4 linked regions of the Xenopus tropicalis genome follow. The protein of the gene in region 3 binds, or shares a complex with, the protein of the main gene of each other region. Links are inferred from orthologs where the notes say so. Each region holds a gene or a part of one and is shown on either strand. Other genes may lie near its edges. The genes, in order: f2rl1, plcb3, gnaq and casr.

Region 1 (5,342 bases), about 52 Mb from region 3:
CCATAATGCCACGGTCATTTCCAGACTGAAACAGGGCAAACCCTTCCTCACTTGCCTCAGACCCCAAAAATGTAACAGTTTTTTTTAGACATGGGGGTACCTACGGTCTCAATTACCCCAAACCTGGCCAAATGGGTGCCGATTTAGATGGTACCAGATCATAAGCTGCCAATAAACAAACTCCCCCTTCCAGCTGTATTATAGGAGCAAACCTAGCTGGCCAAAACCCAACTGGGAACTACAGGAATTAAAGGTTGGCAAAGCTTTACCCCCTACACTAATAAAACTACTTTTGTTATATTACACATAGGCCACAATCTCAGGAAATGATTAATTCTGTAAAAATGTATGGTAATGGCGCATGGGCTGATCAAAGTGACCACTGCTTGCCACCGGTTGACTTCTGTTGACTAAATGGGAAGCACTGCTGGTTTCTATTCATGGCACAGATATTGTGGGTCCAAAGCAACCAGTGTCAATTCCAATTTGTGTCAGAAGAATCTTATCTGCAGCAGGAAAATATAAATTGGGGCAATCGAATGCCCCATTAGCAAAACAACAGGAATGGTGTCAAGTTATCTGTATGTAAATCTGTTTGATGTATATACCATTCTATTGTACAGAGCTGCAGTATATGTTGGTGCTTGGTCAATACTTGTAAAAGGGGAAATCCACCATTAAATTAACTTTTAGACTGTTACAGATTGGACAACTTAAAAGGGTTGCCTGGGTTACTGAGGAAACAAAAAACAGATACCCTGTAAGAGGATTATTACATATGTGTTTTGCTGAAGCCCTCTCCAATTTATCTTCCATTCTTACTCTCAAAACGTTGCCTGATGCCAAATGATGTTGAAATTCTGAACTGGAGAGCTGCAGAACAAGTCTTTATATAACTCACAAACCACATAATGTGTCTACAGTAACAATAACATTGTATGCCATTATAGTCAGCAGCATTGCTGGAAGCGTAACTACCCCTTTAAAGCATTTTCCCTTATAACTACTAGACTGCGGTGAGTACAGAACACGTATGTATATCTTATACACCCAGTGGCAATAATAATCTAAGGGCAGGTCATACTGATTACAAGACGATATGTGCTTTGCCCAGGATGAAACAATAGAAGCTGAATAGAACAGACTCCAATGAAGGAACATGTGGTTTAGCCCTGGGGCCTAGGAATATAGAAGCACCTTCTGGAAAGCTAGAACGTACGTAACAGAATGGCAAACAAAGGGGAATGTTATATTCACTGATCGCTCTGGGGGAAACAAACTTGGACTGATTCATTACGCAGCTGGAAACACTGAGACAAAATAACAGACCTTGATAAATAAAGCTCCCTGCACAACACAAACCGTCCATAACTTTTGGCCCTTATTGTCAGAAAGGACCCATACATATAGCCATTATTAAGTACTTCCCATATATAAAGTATATATGTCCTTATACGCACCCCCAGTGTACGAATTCACGTCTTTTAGTAAAAGCTCAACAAACGGAAGTCTCACCCCCACAACAGTAGCTACGTACATAAAGTACAGTGTGCCCTTTCACATTCCAGACAGCCTGGCACACTGCACTGATAAGCCAGACACACACAGACAGAAGTTATGGGGAACAGAGGATTTCATTGTTAGATGGTGGGTCTCAGTGACGCATGGTTACTAGGTATTTGTGATCACAGGTCCTGCACTAACTAATGTGCAGAACTGGGGGCTGCCTCCTGGCATGTGCTATGATCCAACATGGAAGATACACATGCATCCAGTTTCCCAGACTATGTATATCATGCCAAGGTGATGCCATCTCACTCCTGTATGGGAGAGCAGGAACCCATAGGCCAAGTCTTACTGTAAAGCCTGCGACTGGTTACATTAACCCTACACTCACCCCTTCTAACACATACACAGAGCCAGATGCAACTCCCCCTCCCCCCGGAAAAGGAACATGCTTAAAGCTGAATCGTCAGATATGAAAGTTATATACCCCCCTAATATTATGATTTCGGGCACCTTCAACATCCAGTCCTGTCCGATCGTCAATATCCAAGGCTTTTACTGATATTGGTTGCCTAGTCTCCCACCATACACACACTGATTATCTTCGGAACTTTGTTTTGGATGATATTGGTGTGTGTACGGCCACTCTCAGATGTCATTAGGGGGTTAATAAGGGGCTTATTGGCCAGACTATTCACACGGTGAGGTACCTCATAAATGTTGGCAGAAATCTTAGAGTAGTAGTAATTATATTATATATACATAATTATGAAAGGGATGTTAAAAGTAAAAACACTTATTTAAAAGCATTATCTGTCTGTTTCTGCTCTGCTGATTCAAATTGATACATTGTAAAGTCAGAACCAGCAGTGCAGAAAATAACAATGGGCGGAGAAATACTGCTTTCAAAACTAACATTTGGGAACAACTTGAAAACCACAGAAAATGTGTAACGAGTGAGTGTAGGGAGGTTGTTTGGATACTTTTCTTTCATTAGATATATTACTTTTGGATCTATGTCCAAATTTAAATATGTACAAATGAGGGGCCAGTGATCAATCGCACAATTTTTCCAATACTGAAAGTAGTCCCGGTATAAGTGATTTGGCATGGAGGTGTTTTTTCATCCTTGCCTACTATGTTACCCCAGTGCAACCAATAGCGTAGTACTAGGGAGCCCTGCCCCCACACTACTGCCCCTGAGACAAAGCCCAGGCAATGGGGGACACACACACACACACAATGAGACACACACACACACAATGGGACACACACACACAATGTGATCCTGGGCCGTAGCATTAACACTGTGCCTTAACCTCAACTATACTCCTAGTTACTGGCGTGAGTTGTAGTTCAGCTAGAGCTAGTAACAGGTTCAGCTAGAGCTAGTAACAGGTTGGGGGCAAGAGGCTGACCAGCAAGAAGCGGAGAGAATCACACAGTAAAGCGATAGTTGCGGCATGTTACAGGCTGCCCTAATGCCCTTACCTGTTACGGCGTCAAAACACAGCAACGCCCCGAGTATGAGCAGCCCCCACCGCCAGTCCCCCATGTCCTTTCCCTTTGGAGCCCGGGCTTGGATTCGGGAATGAAGTCTTCAGGTGGCGGTGGTAGGTTAGGAAGGAAATCGCTCCGCGGCTGGAAGGTGACTGAGAGTGAATAGGCGCAGCTCCCAACTCACCGCCCTACTCCAACCGCTCCGCTCCGGTCTCTGTCCCGCAACTCCCGGGTATCACTGAAACTCTGCGCACCTGAGCGCTCGCCCCGCCCACGCCACTGACGTCACTAGTTGATCGGACTGACTGGCGGGCTATTGAGCAAGGGGGCAAGCGCCTTGTCAGTCACCACATACTGCATTACCGCATTCATACTCTCACGTTGTACACGTTTTGCTGTAAGAACAAAGTGGAGTAAAAGATCCACTTTGTTATAAACGTTTAATTTTTTTCTCTATAAAATCTGTTGCCAATGAGACACATTTATCCGGGGCTGAAACAGAGCTACAACAGTTCTCCCCATAGGGATGTACTATTTTTAGGGGCGTTCCATATTACATAGTAATAAAGTTTCCTCTGGCAGAGTGAGACAATTTCTATAATAAATATGTCCCATGTAAAGCTGGCCATACACGCACCGATACTATCGTACAAAACCTCGTTTCGTACAATATTCGGTGCGTGTATGGCATGTCGGCGAGTCGACCGATATCGCAGGAAGCTGCTGATATCGGTCGACTCGCCGATCGGCCAGGTTAGAAAATTTTGATCGGGCGCCATAGAAGGCGCCTGACCAAAATCTTCCGTCAGGGCTGTGACTGACTGTGTGTGGCGGATCTGATGATGTTTTGTGCGACCGATGGTCGCACGAAACATCGTCAGATCGCCACATGTATGGCCAGCTTAAGTGTTTGTGTAGGTGTTTGTTTAAGTGTTTGTGTAGGTGTTTGCGTAGATGTTTGTGTAAGTGTTTGTGTAAGTGTTTGTGTAGATGTTTGTGTAAGTGTTTGTGTAGATGTTTGTGTAAGTGTTTGTGTAAGTGTTTGTGTAGGTGTTTGTGTAGATGTTTGTGTAAGTGTTTGTGTAATTGTTCGTGTAGATGTTTGTGTAAGTGCTTGTGTAGATGTTTGTGTAGGTGTTTGTGTAGGTGTTTGTTCAGAGGTTGGAGACCTCAAGCAGCACTATACAGTGATTAAACACCTACTCACTTGCTATGGCCTGATACTATGATTAGTAGACCGCAACAGGGTTGAAGAGTTTACTCTAAAAAAAGAACTAGGGGCTAAACTCCTCCAGAGATTTTCAGCAGATTTTGGCAATGTCGCCAAGCGAGCGGATCTTCTCCCGATATTCCCACCTACAGGTGGCCGATATTGGGAGAATCAAGACTAATTTGATCATTTGGCTCTGGGGCCAAACGATCAAATTATAACAACGGGTATAGGAAAAGTCGGTCCAAGGATCGCATCAACGAGCCGATGTGGCCCCCGATCTGACTAGATTTTTTTAACCTGACTGATTTCAGGCCAGATATCGGTTGGGTGGGCCCTGGGGTAGTGCCCATACACGGGCCAATTAGCTACCGGCAACCAGGAAAAGCAGTCGTCCTTTGTACTCCTCTGTGTTATCAAGATATGTGAGTGTTACAACATATCCTTTTATATACAAAGGAATGTGTGCTATTTGATGACCTCTAAAGCATGTCCCAACAGACAATAAAGCATCCATAGGAACTTCCCACATTCTGCTTAGTGTTTCAGATCTCTCTCACTTCAGTCACTTCAATCTGTGACTTAGCTTTTACGTCATCTGTATGTACATTGATGTTATCACAAGAAGCCTGTTGTAAGTCTTGCTATAGATATATATATTATTTGATTCCAGAATTGCTGATATGATTACACATAAACAGCAGGACAATGCTATGGGGCGTTGGGTTCCATTATGCAGAACTTTGAGCAAAAGGAAAGTACTGGTGAGGGTGTCGATCCCCACAACTCCTGAGCACCGGGCAGAAAACAGAAGAGAGTCCTGGGTTTGCAGGTGAGAAACTTTCCTTACATTTTGCAGATGCACAATGTATCCACAAGATTATTTTTGGTTCTGCTTCTGCTAAAAGAAGACCAATTATTTTCACAAAAGGAAAACAGAATACATTTAAGAAATTAGTTTAGTAGTTATGGCAATTTTCCAAGTAGGACTTCCAAGTAGGTTACTAACAGAGGTCTTTTAGATTATTAGTTATTAAGATAATAGATAAATACAAAGTATAACAATAAATACAAATAAATAAATACAAGATACAGCTGCAATAAGTTAAGAGGCAAAGACACAAGA
Region 2 (4,731 bases), on a different chromosome or scaffold from region 3:
CAGAATGTAAATCGCCAGTGGGGTGGCATATGCGGCGCCCCGATCGCCGAAGTTGCCTCTCTGCAATTTCAGCAAATCGCCACGCCGTGTTTGTGGAATGGATGGATGCTCTTTTATCCACTGGAAGGAAGGACGGACCAGCAAATAAACCCATCAGAGACTGTATTGTACTGTCCCATTATATATTTCTAATTAATTATCACATCCCCCTTAAGCGCCTCTTCTCCAGTGTAAACTTGGCCAACCTTTCCCAACTAAGAGTGTACATTATGTTGGCCATTTATTAAGAAGTAAAAGCATAACAGGACAAAGCAGTTTGATCTCTGATCATTTTACTGAAGAAATAAAATGTGAATAAAAAATTCATATAATAGGATAAGTAACAGTGACACGCACGAGCCATTCCTACACGCACAAACACTCACAGTGCCAGTCATACACACGAGAGGGTTATACCAAGCAATGAGAGGCCCACTGGTCAGCAACTACTCTCCATTTCATATATTACAAATTCATATGTTACTCTAAGAACCAAACCTTCCTCAAGAAGAGAGATATTAGGAACCATTAGGAATCATTGTATAATGTCTCACTCCAGCCATTATAAGGCCGACTTGCCTTACGTTTACTAAAGCCCAAAGTGATGCCAGCAGGGGGCACTGGAGTTTCTGGGCAAAGAGCAAGCAATAGAGATGCTTGTTTAATCACCGACATAAAGGGAAACTAAAGCTGAAGTGAAAGTACACATAAAGCTCTCCACATTGGGGGATATACACAGATGGTCATTATATGATGTACAAATGTCAGATGACCTTCAGATATCTCTTTAAAACCTTTTGCTGCCAACTCTATATGGTGCTATAAGTGATTAAAACTGTTTTTTTAGCGGTAGTTACAAGTGCTGAAGAATAAGCCTTGCAATAGGAGGCCAGGGGCAGCTATCTGTTTAGTTAAAAAGAGAGTAGATGGAACAGTCTCTCCCCATGGGGATTTTCAGTGCTGGTGTTTTATTTGTTTTTATTCTGGCTGTATATTAAAATACCTTATAGTTGGTGAGCCAATAAAAATGGGCTGCCTCCACCAACGGCACCCTGGGTTTAATATGTATGGAGCAAGTGGAAAAACAAAAACCTGGCTGACGATAGGTGCACTTTACACCTATAGGTACCCACCCTTTAAGTGGTGATCATGCTTGCCATCACCTAGGGGAATGTATTGGCCATCATTAAAATGGCAAGTGGCTGCTTGTATTCACAGTCTGCAACTGACAATGTCATAAAAAAGTCTGACACCTCCTAAGAACATTCCATGAGAGCAGAATCTCAGGACTGTATTTCTGACTACGTTAAAGGGACACTGCCCTCAGCTGGAACCAGCGGCAGACAAAATGCCCCTCTCCACCTCTTCTCACTCCAGATGCTACGGAATGACAGGCTCTTACTGGATTGCAGCAGTGACAGGCACCCTTCACTAGAGGGCAGCGACAGCCAAATCTCCCCATTTGCTATAGTCATTATTAATGCTGTGACGTTCTTTGGCATTGCAGGATTAGATATGATGGATTTATGTGCCCCAGACGTTAAATGTTTCAGACTCTCCCACTCACATCTGCATCAGACAAAGGGCAGCACTGTAGTTGGATCATTTTATACACAGGCTAATTGGTCCTTATCTTTGCCTTGTAAGAGGAACGCTCTGCCCATCGTTGTGTATTTAGAACACCTGTCATAAACAAACAACAAAGCACTGCTATGAACTGAAGTAGAAACTGCCACAAAGCACAGACGAGACATTTTTCAGCAGTGAAGTAAATCAGTAACACCCCCCCCCCTTCACAGAAAAAAAACAAAAAACTACACTACTTTTACACAAATATTAAACATTGATTTCTGGTGTAAGTAAACACTTTTACTCTGATGACAGTATCCCTTTAAATAAATATATATTTGCCAATGTTGCAAAATACTCTTTAATATAGAAGCAGTTTATATTTTAGCTACAGTTTCTGTTCATGGGCCACTCAGCACTTCTTCTCCCATAGTGTTCTGCACCACTCACTCACTCACTCGCTGACTCACTCACACTCAGGTACCATGTCCTCTTTCCTCTCCCCACATCTGTGATGACACAAATTACACAGAATGGTTTACATTTGGGGGTACTGAGCAGAGATCTGGATTTGTGTGGAGAGCTGGCTCCTGTGACCCTCTGGTTATGGGGTGCGCTTGTACACAGCTGCATCCTGGGTAAATCTTATTTTATCAGTACCCTGTACACTAGAGACATGTTTTGTCAATGTTGGGTTCCAAGATTAGCATCTGGAAGGAAAAAAGTTCATTTGTTTATTGTGGGGGTCAGAGCCTGGTGGCTTCATCACTTGAGTCTCCAGGGGAATGAAGAGAATCTTTTTCGCCAGACTCCGACCCCCAGCTCCGGCTTATTGAGGGCGGGCTGCTGTGTGAAGAAGAGGGAGGACCTGAACCACTGCCAACCCAGCCATCCTCCTGCAAGTAACGTCGGACCTCCTGGGGCAGCTGGCGGAACTCAGCTTGGCAAGACTCATCTAACTGTGCCTGCAGCTGGGAGAAAATGAAAGGAAGACATGAGGGTTGAGAATGGAAAGATGACTGTTAATGTGATTTTCAGTGTCTGTATGGGGGACCCGATGATCCTGACCAACGTCTATGAACTATAGATATCTGGTCATCATAAAACTATCACCCATATAATGTGATAATTTATTAATATATGTAATAAAAGGCACAACATTTGCCCAGGATCAGGACCAATAAGATATTTGCTTTTAAACAGGTGACCAGTAAATGCTACCTGCTGATTGGTTGCTATGGGTTACCACTCCTGGGCAAAATGAGTGCCTTTTATTACATAACCCCTTATATGTGCAAATGCATTTTGCCCAACGTATGCTAAAGCATACATGCCACGGGAATAACCCTGCGTGTTTATTTATAAAATGTGACATTTTGGTGACACGCCCCTTTATCAGACATCAAACTTCATGACTCACACACTAACATTATGCATACTATTGATTGGCTGTAGTGATGAGTGAAAATCTTCGCCAGGCATGGATTCGTGGCGAATCTCTGTTTCGCCACTGGTCGATTGCTTCGTGAAATGGGCACAAAAACTTGCTGTGGAAGAGTTTGGCCAAAAGAGTTCACCAAAAAAAATTGTTGCGCGTCAAAAAATGGTTGTGTGGGTCATTTTTCGCCAAACTGAAATGGGACAGATTCGGCTCATCACTAATTGGCTGGAATGCCCCGGTGAGGCACAGGCAGCCACCCCCCCTTATACTGTACATACTCCTCCTCAGATCTGCTAGATCTTTTTTATTGGATGAATTAAAGGCCACTCAACCTTATTATAATGAAGTACAGGCCAAGTGCGCATTATTTCATATAGGCCAGAGGCTGCATGCAAACAGGGGAGTCACGCCAACATAAGAAGGGGGGAGCTAATAAAGGGCAAGTAGAAGATCTATGTTATAGTGATGGTATCAGGGTATTATGGTGTCTGTCACATTAATGCTGACCTTTGGCTCCTCATCTTTTATCCTTTGCAGTGTTTCCTGGTGAGCCGCCTGCAGCTTCTCTTGTCGCCTTTTCTGGGCCTCTTCCAGCTGAAAGAAACAGACACAGAATGAACTGGATGCCATCATCATCACAAGACTACCATATATTATAAGCTCAACTTGGTTTTCAGATATAGACTTGCAAAGTGCAGTGCATTTTCGGCTTTCATTATTTTGAAGATTTTGAATTATTTAAGCTTTTTGTTTTCAGCAGCTTTTCTGTTTGGAATTTCCGCAGCTACCTGGTTGCTAGGGTCCAATTTGCCCTAGCAACTAGGAAATGGTTTGAATGACAGACAGGAAGATGAATGGCAGAGGGCCTAAATGGAAACATAAGTCATATGAAGTAACAAATAATGAAGGTAGTGTTTTTTTGTTGGCTGCTGGGGTCAGTGAACCCTTTTAAAAAGCTGGAAAGAGGCAGAAGAAGAAGGCAAATAATCCAATAACTATAAAAACTAAAGATCAATTGAAGAGTTTCTAAAGGTGGCCATACACGGACCGATTTTTTACTTACAAACGACCGATTCCCGAATGATCCGATGCTATCGTTAAGTTATCGTATAGTTGGTGGTGTACGAACGATCGTCAGCCCACTAAACGAGCCGACATTATCGTCCCCAAAATCGATCGGCCAGGTTTAAAAATTTTGGTCGTTTAACGATAAAATCTGCCAGTTGGTGTGAGTGTCAGACATTTGTCTTTCAACGATTGTTCTCTGCGCATGTCACGATTGCCAGCAGCGGAAGTCAACGACATTCGATCGTACGTAGATGTACGATCGTACGTATTTTACGATAATGATGCGACAAAATCTTTCCCGAATTATCGTTGCCCGTGGATGGCATATCGTATGGGAACTCGATCGCCATACGATCGTTTGTCGATATAATCGTTCATCGCACAACGAGCGAAATCGCCTCGTGTATGGCCACCTTAAGAATCATAGACTTAGCAAACTAAAAACAATTTAAAGGGATACTGTTTATGTGAATGATTTTTATGGTATTTCTAAATTACACTGTTTACATAGCAAATAATTCACTCTACCATTTAAAATGTTTTTCTTGAACCAACAAATGTATTTTTAGCTGTAATATTGGTGTGTAGGCACCATCTCAGTGCATTGTGCCTGA
Region 3 (4,731 bases):
CTGGAAAGTTTAACAACCCTGCCATTATTTAATTTTAACATTAACTGTTGGTGGCTCCACCCACTTGTTCTAACCCTGAATACGAAGTCAGCCACTGACTGACTGTGCAAAGTTTGGGAACCCTGACATAGTGTGATTTAAGATTTTAAATTTAAACCAAAAAATCAATAGGTGAAGTCTGATTGGCTGTTAGTGGCTCAATCCACTTTTTAAAACCTAAAAATGCAGTCCCCTAGTGACCCTGGTGTTAATACTGGGAGAATGGCAGCAGGTTGAATTTCCCCATTAAAAATCAATCCTTAAAATCTGATTGGCCCTTGGTGGCTCCACCCACTTTTTCTAATTGTGAACCGCACTTACCTAGTGACTAGCTCTGCAAAGTTTGGGGACCTTAGTATTAATATTTAAAGAATAGCTCCAGTTTACATTTAAACATATGAAGTCTATAGGTGAAATCTGATTGGCCATCCAGTGACAAACTGTGCAAAGCTTGGGGACCCTGACATTAAACATGTGAGAATAGCAGCAGTTAAAATTTCTCCACTGAAAACAATGAAAAAAGTGTGATTGGCTTTTGGCAGCCCAGCCCACTTTTTCTAACCTTGACTACGTAGTCACCCAATGACTGACTGTGCAAAGTTTGGGAACCCTGGCATCAAACAAATAAAATTCAATAGGTGAAATCTGATTGGTTGCTGGTGGCTCTGCCCACTTTTTCCAAAACTTTCCCTAGTGACCAACTGTGAAAAATTTGAGGGCCCTGGGGTTAATAGTGTGAGAATGGCAGCAGGTTGAATTTCCCCATTAAAAGTCAATAGGTAAAATCTGATTGGCTGTTGGTGGCTCCACCCCCTATTTTTTAAACTTTGAACCACAGTAACCTGGTGCCTAACCCTGCAAAGTTTGGGGACCCTGATGTTATTACTGTACCGCCAAGTCAATCGTTAAAATCTAATTGGCTGTTCACAGCTCCGCCCACTTTTGGGCATCCAGCAATCATCATATTTTCATTCAGGCTGACCCCATGACTATGTGATTCAAGTTTGGGGAGTGTAGCCTCAAAGCTGTAAGATTAGCCTTTTGGACAGACAAGGTACAAATAAACTAATATATATAGTTAATATTCACTGGAATTGCTGTGCGAAACATGGTGCAGTTCTTGGATACCAAGCTCTGTAGCCACCAACTGTAGGTGGTTAAGATATGTATACTCATTTGCAGACCTGTCACACAGACATAAAAGTTGCATAAAGTAAACCCCAATTAATTACACATAAAACCCTAATTCTTGTTTAATTATTTATTCAGTACTTCTACCGACCACATGCATGAGTCTGATCTAGTCTAACCAAAAATTATCTTCCAGTAGGAGAAAAAGTCTACTAAAATCTTACCTTGTTGTGTTCATACTTGTATGGGATTTTAAGGGTGTCCATGGCTCGAATCATAGCTTGCATTGCAGTGAATATATTTTGATAGACAAGCTTTGTGAACCCCCTTTTATCTTCATCTGAATAACCAGATCCATGGATTATTCTCATCTGTTTGATAAATGTGCTTTTTCCACTTTCTCCTGTGCCTGAGAAGAAAATAATATTCGTTTAGTTAACATATTGGTTTCATAGGTGATCAAAGCAAACAAAAGGAATTCTGGGAATGAATTCCAAAACTCTTAAAAAAAAAATCTACCTAAGCTGATCAGAAAACCCTGCACTACACTGATGAGCCTCAAGTAAGGCGAAACCGGTCTGTAGTTGGGAATCTGATCAGCTATTATCCTGGCTTCAGCTTTAAACCCAGTGGGTGAGCTGTAGCCTATATGATAAACCCATGTAAATGGGATTTTTTTTTTTTTAAGAGTTTTGGAATTCATTCCCAGAATTCCTTTTGTTTGCTTTTGTCTGTATGAGGCAGTCTCCTCAACCTTATTTATTTGTTTATAGGTGATCTAACAAACACTCTGTGCGTCAATAACACAATATTCAATGCACAAGAACTGGGTGTTCTCAAGATTCCACATGGAGAGCATCTGATGAGGGCACCCCGGCATTAAAGATATACTTTAAAACAAATTGGTACAATCTTTTTTTTTCTGAAGAAAACTGCCCCCAAGCCACACCCATTGTCCCCATGGATTTTCACAGAAATGTATTTTCTTCTTTATATTTTTTTTTTAAGATTTTATTTTGTTAAAAAAAATATTACAACCAAATTATTTAAAAAATAAGGATTTCAGGGATCTTGCACTACACAGTATTTCTGTTTTTAGAATACACAGATTAACCCTGACCCCATTGCTGCCTATGGGATTCCTGCTGGCATTTTCTATCATGTTTTGTCTGTAATAGGCACATTTTAAGAAAGAAAGTCCTTTAGCAAATTGCCAATGTTTTTAAGCTACTCCCACAAAAATAAACGGGAAAATACATAGTAACATAGTAAGTTAGGTTGAAAAAAAGACGTACGTCCATCACGTTCAACCATAATGCCTATATATAAAAATGATTTAGGGAGTTTTCAAAGCCATGATTTTAGCGTAAAAAAACCTGTTATGGGCAAACATCTCAAACTGCTATGACTGCCACTGGCCTTAGAGACAAAAAGTACTTTTACAGAAAAAAAAAAAAAAAAAATAGCTTGAAGTAACATTTACCATAAGGTGCACCAACATAACATTTTCTTACTGATTAGTGATGTAATCAGTTCGAACAAGAAAAGTAGTCATTGAATGGTACATGCTCCCCAACCCAATTTTTGCCCTATGTAACACTCAGCTGATCCTGTTATCAGTCTGGCACTCACAGAAACTGGGAAAAACGGTTAGGTTAAAGGAGGTCACAAATAATACATTAACACCCCAACATGTCACAATAACTATGATTAAATGAAATCTATAACCCCAAACAATGTAGGTCTCTATAAAAATATATTGCATAAACAGCTCATGTGTCAAATCCTTTTTCATCTAAATAAATCATTTTCATAAAAATATACTTTAGTAGTCAAATTGCCATTTTAAGAATTAAGGGCCGCCTCCTGGGATCATAGGATTCGCAGTGCATACAATCAAGCCAAGGCACACATACATGGCCACATCAGCCTATGAATGGACAGGGCAATAATATTCCAGTTTGGCGAGATTCTTTAATAGTTTATATTATGTTATGTGACCGATCTGTTGGTTAAGTATTCATTCTGGGGGTATAGTTTTCCTTTAATACTATTTGGAAAACAGAACTACAGTGAATTTTTGTATAACAGTTTTCCTCAAAAGTCTTGTCACTATGGGAAGGATTAACCCAAACTGTTTATGCATATAAAAAGTACCTTGAGGCAAAAATAAAAATAAAAGCATGAGAAAAAAAACCCGTTTACATCATGCCATAACTGCCATCATGTGCTGGATTTTTATATCATAGGAAACACTTTAATATGTTATGAAACCTATGAAACAAAAGCTCTCTACATTCATGGGATTCAGTCAAAGGACATGGGGACATTTAATAATAGCAATGATTGAGCCAATGAAATTTGAAGATTAATATAAATGTAAGAAAGAGCATTTTCATGTCAGTGTATTTTACATAATGCTCAGATTCTTCCCATACTTTTTAAAAAAATCAATCTCTTTGTCTGCTAGCAATCAGCGTGCTTTGATGCTGTGCATTGCCTAGGAAAACACATTCTTCCCACCGATATGCACAGATTGCAAAATTATAGAAAGTACATTGCTGCCAGAGCGCCGCCGGGATCAAAAAATCAGCATCGGAGCCCATGGCAGCAGCAATCGTTTTACTTGCAGCGATCCAAAGCTTAGGCTGGGGGAAGGCATTTTGAGGGTGACAAATCTGCAGCAACAGTAAAGCAACAGTAAAGTATAAAATGACTTGGAGAGCAATACAAGCATCATAAAAGTTCATGGGGGAGCCAAATAAGGGCTAAAGATTGGCTACTAGGTAGCCTCTATGCACACTATCAGCTTACGCGGATGCCAGATGTGGCGTAGGCTGATATTTTCGGCAAGCGGAAAAACGCTTGGCGAAAATACAGCCCTAACCCTGCTACTTGTGCCTGCACCCGAATGAATGAGATACGCTCGGGTGCAGGCACATGTAGTCGATATACGCATGAAAACGCGTCTCATTCATTCGGGTGCAGGCACAAGTAGCAGGCGTAGGGCTGTATTTTCGCCAAGCGTTTTTCCGCTTGCCGAAAATATCAGCCCTACGCCACGTCTGGCATCAGCTTAACAGGAGGCTTTATTTGGTAGTAAATTTGTTTTTTTCCAACCAAAACTTGCCACCATGTCAGGAATTCAAAAATAACTACCTGGTTTGGGGGCACCGAGAGCAACATCCAAGGGGTTGGTGAGCAACATGCTGCTCAACAGCCACTGGTTGGTTATCACTGCCTTAGAGGGTCATGCCTCTTATCTACAATTACTAGCAGATCTTTCTGCATTAAGGATTTAAAATTATTAGTACCAATATAATTAGGCCCACGGGTATACAAAAAGTAAACCGGTTCACACATCTTTTAAATCACATATATTGAAAGGGGGTGCTAAACCCAGGGTCCCATTCAGGCAACATGCATTTTTTCTTTCCTGGATTTAAAGTTTTCCCAGAATTTACACTGTTTTGACACAGCACCTGGGAAAAGTTAAATCAGGGTTCAACTGTATAAACTTTAGCACAATGAAAACATAATCTTAAAGTTATGTGTAAAACC
Region 4 (3,790 bases), on a different chromosome or scaffold from region 3:
TCGATTGGGCGGGACAAACGATTGTGATTAGGTTGAATGGACCCGAGCAGGGTGGGACTGAGCCAGCGGGACACTGGGAGAAAACCCAATGGGCCCCACCGGCCCTGACCCAAACGCCACAGGGGGCGGGAATAGCTCTCATTTTCCTATATATTTTCAACGTGCGCACAGGGGAGGGGGTTAGGCAGCCAGGGGGGGTCCCTAGGGGGGGCATGGGGGCCCCTTGGGGCAGTGGGGGGCTTTTGGGGCAGCAGCCCTGTTGGGCCCCATTCCCATCAGTCTGACCCTAGGCACAAGCAAAAGCTTGGCCACCTGAAAGCAGGAAGTAGTGTTCTGGCTATTATGTTAGACATCTGCCCGCTCCAGCCTGTATAGATGGCATTTGTGCCCAACTCACTATATTACAAATATTTTACTTATTTTTCGCTGTTAAACAGAACTGTTCCTTTAATACAGGTGCGTCTATACCTGTAAGCTCCTCCCCCATTGCTGGGTCCGTACAAGCGACTCGCATCACAACCCAAAATAGGGGTGTGGCCTTTGCCATCAATTGCTGATATCCCACAATCCAAGATGGATCCTGTATATCGGGGGGGGGGGGGGGCAGCAATAATTTCCCAACATTCCCAGCAAATATTTATTAATGTAAGTAACAGTATAACAGTATATTCCCTAATACAGGTTTCCCCTATAACATACACAGTGGAACACAGCACCCCCCCCCTCCCCCGGCCCAGCTATGCATCATGGGAATATTATTACTCTACAGTATTTACAGCATCTATGTGTCATTATGGGTAATGTGCTACATACAGACTATAGTGCGACATTGTAGGCTCCGTACAGACGTCTCATTGGGGGTCATCCTGTTGGGGGGTTGGGATTGGGGTGCACTGAATCCGCTACTTTAGGATCCGGCCGAACCCTCTGCCCCACGGCGCCCCCTAGTTTTGCTATAGGAGCTGCCAAAAAACATAATTATAGATGCAAGAAAATTCACCAATGAGAGTTCTACTCATTATAAATGCAAGAGAAGTGACCAATGAGAATGCTGATTCCCTGTGTCAGGCCCCTTGCTGGTACCTTACATATAGAGATAATGATGGCATTTTCCCGTCATTATATGGCACAGGAATCAGACATGGGGATAAAGGGACAGACTTGTTCAGTGCTGGGAAACTGTGCTTATTGCTCCCAACTCCAATTGCAGGAACAGAGAACAGGGAGCCGGATTTACTCACATCAGCTGGGATTCTCATTGGGGGAAAGTTTTTTTGGGCAATATTGCTTTAAGAATACAGCCCTGATGTTGCTGTACTACAGCTCCCAGCATGCCTCACCCTTCATTATATGTTACATTATTCTGGGATTTGTAGTCCTGCAACAGCTGAGTAACGTTTGGTTGAGCCGCAGGGTTTACTTCCCCTTTAATCATTCGGATTCGGTTAGGCCAGAGGAATGGATTCGGGCGAATCCTGGATTCCGTGCACCCCCACTTTGGAATGAACCCTATTTCCCACACTGATATGAATAAACATTTACAAGGCAGTAAGATTTGGGGGGGCTACGCCCGACGTATGTCTCGAAGGAACTGTCTTTGCTTCTCGGTGGAGCCGGGGCCCCAAGAGACAAGTTTAACAGAGTTCATATCTCCTAGCGGGTTCTGCAGAGCCACCGCTCCGTGTAAGTGCAAGTATTAGGAGTTCACCGCATTCTCTGTGATGGTTCCGTCGGTGACGCTCTTGGAGTTCCCCATCTGGGGCAGATCTGCGCTCTCGGGTTTGACCGATTCTAGGGATCCGGCCTCGTCGATGTTGGAGGCGGTTCTGAAACTGGACTCGCTGCCGGCGTCGCTGTTCTGCAGGGGGAGGAGAGCGCGGTGCCGCATCAGACTGTCGTCGCTGTTCTTGCCTTCCAGCGAGTTCTTGGCCCTGGTGGTTCTGTTGGACACGGCGTTCCTTTGGGTTTCGTCGAAGCTCAGCGACAGGGTGACGGTGCCGCTGCCGAAGCTGACTTTCTGCTTGCAGGCCCGGTTCTTGTCCCCTATGGAGAAATGCTCGTCGTGGTTGCTCTTGCTGCTGATGGAAGAGGACGGCGTGGAACCGGTGGACCCCCCGAGGCTGTTGGACCTCTTGTGCGAGACGTTGCTGCGCCTCAGGGTCGCCCTGGCCGCCACCTTGAAAGCGTGGGCTACGGTGCTGCAGCGCACTTCTTCTATGGTGTTCCTGGACGGTTTGAAGAGGATGATATAGACCTTGTTGAAGAAAATACAGGCCAGGAGGCCGAAGCTGGAGGCCAAGATGGCGATGACTTCGACCGCGGAGACAAATTTGCCGTAGGTGGAGGCGTAAGCGGGGATGAAGGAAATCCAGACGATGAAGAATATGAGCATGCTGAACGTGATGAACTTGGCCTCGTTGAAGTTCTCCGGAAGCTTCCGGGCCTTGAAGGCAAAGAAGAAGCAGATGGCAGCCAGGAGGCACGTGTAGCCAATGAGAAAGCCCAGGGCCATCAAGGAACCTTCGTTGCACGTAATGAAAATGATCTCGTCCTCCAGGTCCTGGTTTCTGTAGCTCCAGGGCGGCGCCGTGTACAGCCAGATAATGCAGGTCACGATCTGCACGAAGGTGCAAAGGAACACCAAAAGGAACTGCAGGTTCAGGCCCCACCACTTCCTCTGGAAACTGGTGGGGATTTTGGCTTCAAACACCAGCAGGATGCGGTTGGTCTTCACCAGGATGCAGGAGATGCACAGCACGAAGCTGATGCCGAACGCCGGCTGCCGCAGCCGACACGTCCAGTCCTGGGGCTCCCCGAGGAAAATCAGCGAGCTGGAGAAGCAGCAGATCAGGGAGAACAGGAGGAGGTAGGACAGTTCCCGGTTGGTGGCCTTGACGATGGGGGTGTTGCGGAACTTGATGAAGACGCCAAGGACAAAGGACGTCAGGCAGATCCCCAAGATGGCGAACATGGTCAGGGCGATGCCGAAGGGCTCCGTCCAAGACAGGAACTCGATCTGCTTGGCGATGCAGGAGGTGTGGTTGTCGTTGGACCAGTAGTCCTTGGCGCACTTCTCACAGGCGCTGGCATCTGGCAAAGCAAACACAAGCGCCGTTATTCATGGGCATAGCAACCGGGAGTTGGTTATGTATTGGCATAGCAACACTGGGAGCCGGTTATGTATTGGCATAGCAACCGGGAGTCGGTTATGTATTGGCATAGCAACCAGGAGACGGTTATGTATTGGCATAGCAACCGGGAGTCGGTTATGTATTGGCATAGCAACCAGGAGACGGTTATGTATTGGCATAGCAACCGGGAGTCGGTTATGTATTGGCATAGCAACACTGGGAGCCGGTTATGTATTGGCATAGCAACACTGGGAGATGGTTATGTATTGGCATAGCAACACTGGGAGCCGGTTATGTATTGGCATAGCAACACTGGGAGATGGTTATGTATTGGCATAGCAACCGGGAGCCGGTTATGTATTGGCATAGCAACACTGGGAGCCGGTTATGTATTGGCATAGCAACACTGGGAGATGGTTATCTATTGGCATAGCAACCGGGAGCCGGTTATGTATTGGCATAGCAACACTGGGAGCCGGTTATGTATTGGCATAGCAACACTGGGAGCCAGTTATGTAATGGCATAGCAACACTGGGAGATGGTTATGTATTGGCATAGCAACCGGGAGCCGGTTATGTATTGGCATAGCAACACTGGGAGATGGTTATGTATTGGCATAGCAACACTGGGAGATGGTTATGTATTGGCATAGCAACCG

Evidence for each region.
Region 1: the proteins of gnaq (region 3) and f2rl1 are in contact, whole or in part, in a cryo-EM structure (PDB 9D0A), measured with the Homo sapiens proteins. The link is inferred for Xenopus tropicalis from reciprocal best matches to the Homo sapiens genes GNAQ and F2RL1. Residues at the interface, in NP_002063.2 of Homo sapiens: Arg37, Ile323, Tyr325, Asp346, Ile348, Leu349, Gln350, Asn352, Leu353, Glu355, Tyr356, Asn357, Leu358, Val359; in NP_005233.4 of Homo sapiens: His108, Pro109, Ala110, Met114, Gln172, Arg173, Val176, Ile177, Pro180, Met181, Gly182, His183, Ser184, Arg185, Met265, Met268, Leu269, Met274, Asp275, Asn277, Lys280, Lys281, Arg284, Ala285, Leu288, Ile289, Tyr344, Tyr345, Val347, Ser348.
Region 2: the proteins of gnaq (region 3) and plcb3 are in contact, whole or in part, in a cryo-EM structure (PDB 8UQO), measured with the Homo sapiens proteins. The link is inferred for Xenopus tropicalis from reciprocal best matches to the Homo sapiens genes GNAQ and PLCB3. Residues at the interface, in NP_002063.2 of Homo sapiens: Pro185, Thr186, Thr187, Ile189, Glu191, Pro193, Arg202, Gln209, Arg210, Ser211, Glu212, Arg213, Arg214, Lys215, Trp216, Ile217, His218, Val240, Glu241, Glu245, Glu249, Glu250, Ala253, Leu254, Arg256, Thr257, Ile258, Thr260, Tyr261; in NP_000923.1 of Homo sapiens: Pro257, Arg258, Leu259, Asn260, Glu261, Val262, Leu263, Arg707, Asp709, Lys710, Ile719, Asp721, Gly722, Ile723, Val724, Ala725, Ser845, Asp846, Tyr847, Ile848, Pro849, His852, Tyr855, Ala856, Ala858, Leu859, Ile860, Asn861, Pro862, Ile863.
Region 4: the proteins of gnaq (region 3) and casr are in contact, whole or in part, in a cryo-EM structure (PDB 8SZG), measured with the Homo sapiens proteins. The link is inferred for Xenopus tropicalis from reciprocal best matches to the Homo sapiens genes GNAQ and CASR. Residues at the interface, in NP_002063.2 of Homo sapiens: His63, Leu196, Gln197, Ser198, Ile323, Tyr325, Ile337, Arg338, Phe339, Phe341, Ala342, Lys345, Asp346, Ile348, Leu349, Gln350, Leu351, Asn352, Leu353, Glu355, Tyr356, Leu358, Val359; in NP_000379.3 of Homo sapiens: Lys644, Ala645, Asn647, Arg701, Val702, Leu704, Val705, Phe706, Ala708, Lys709, Ile710, Pro711, Thr712, Phe714, Phe801, Arg873, Thr876, Ala877, His879, Ala880, Phe881, Val883, Ala884, Arg886, Ala887, Thr888, Leu889.

The regions. Positions count from the first base shown.
Region 1 is NC_030677.2:184,881,281-184,886,622, reverse strand, and holds the start of f2rl1 (proteinase-activated receptor 2), read right to left. Parts: upstream 3,343-5,342; 5' UTR 3,062-3,342; coding exon 2,998-3,061; intron 1-2,997. UniProt on the Homo sapiens protein: Receptor for trypsin and trypsin-like enzymes coupled to G proteins.
Region 2 is NC_030680.2:35,338,695-35,343,425, forward strand, and holds the end of plcb3 (1-phosphatidylinositol 4,5-bisphosphate phosphodiesterase beta-3), read right to left. Parts: intron 3,644-4,731; coding exon 3,557-3,643; intron 2,580-3,556; coding exon 2,355-2,579; 3' UTR 316-2,354; downstream 1-315. UniProt on the Homo sapiens protein: Catalyzes the production of the second messenger molecules diacylglycerol (DAG) and inositol 1,4,5-trisphosphate (IP3).
Region 3 is NC_030677.2:132,492,951-132,497,681, forward strand, and holds part of gnaq (guanine nucleotide-binding protein G(q) subunit alpha), read right to left. Parts: intron 1,580-4,731; coding exon 1,395-1,579; intron 1-1,394.
Region 4 is NC_030678.2:2,451,474-2,455,263, forward strand, and holds the end of casr (extracellular calcium-sensing receptor), read right to left. Parts: intron 3,091-3,790; coding exon 1,697-3,090; 3' UTR 1,370-1,696; downstream 1-1,369. UniProt on the Homo sapiens protein: G-protein-coupled receptor that senses changes in the extracellular concentration of calcium ions and plays a key role in maintaining calcium homeostasis.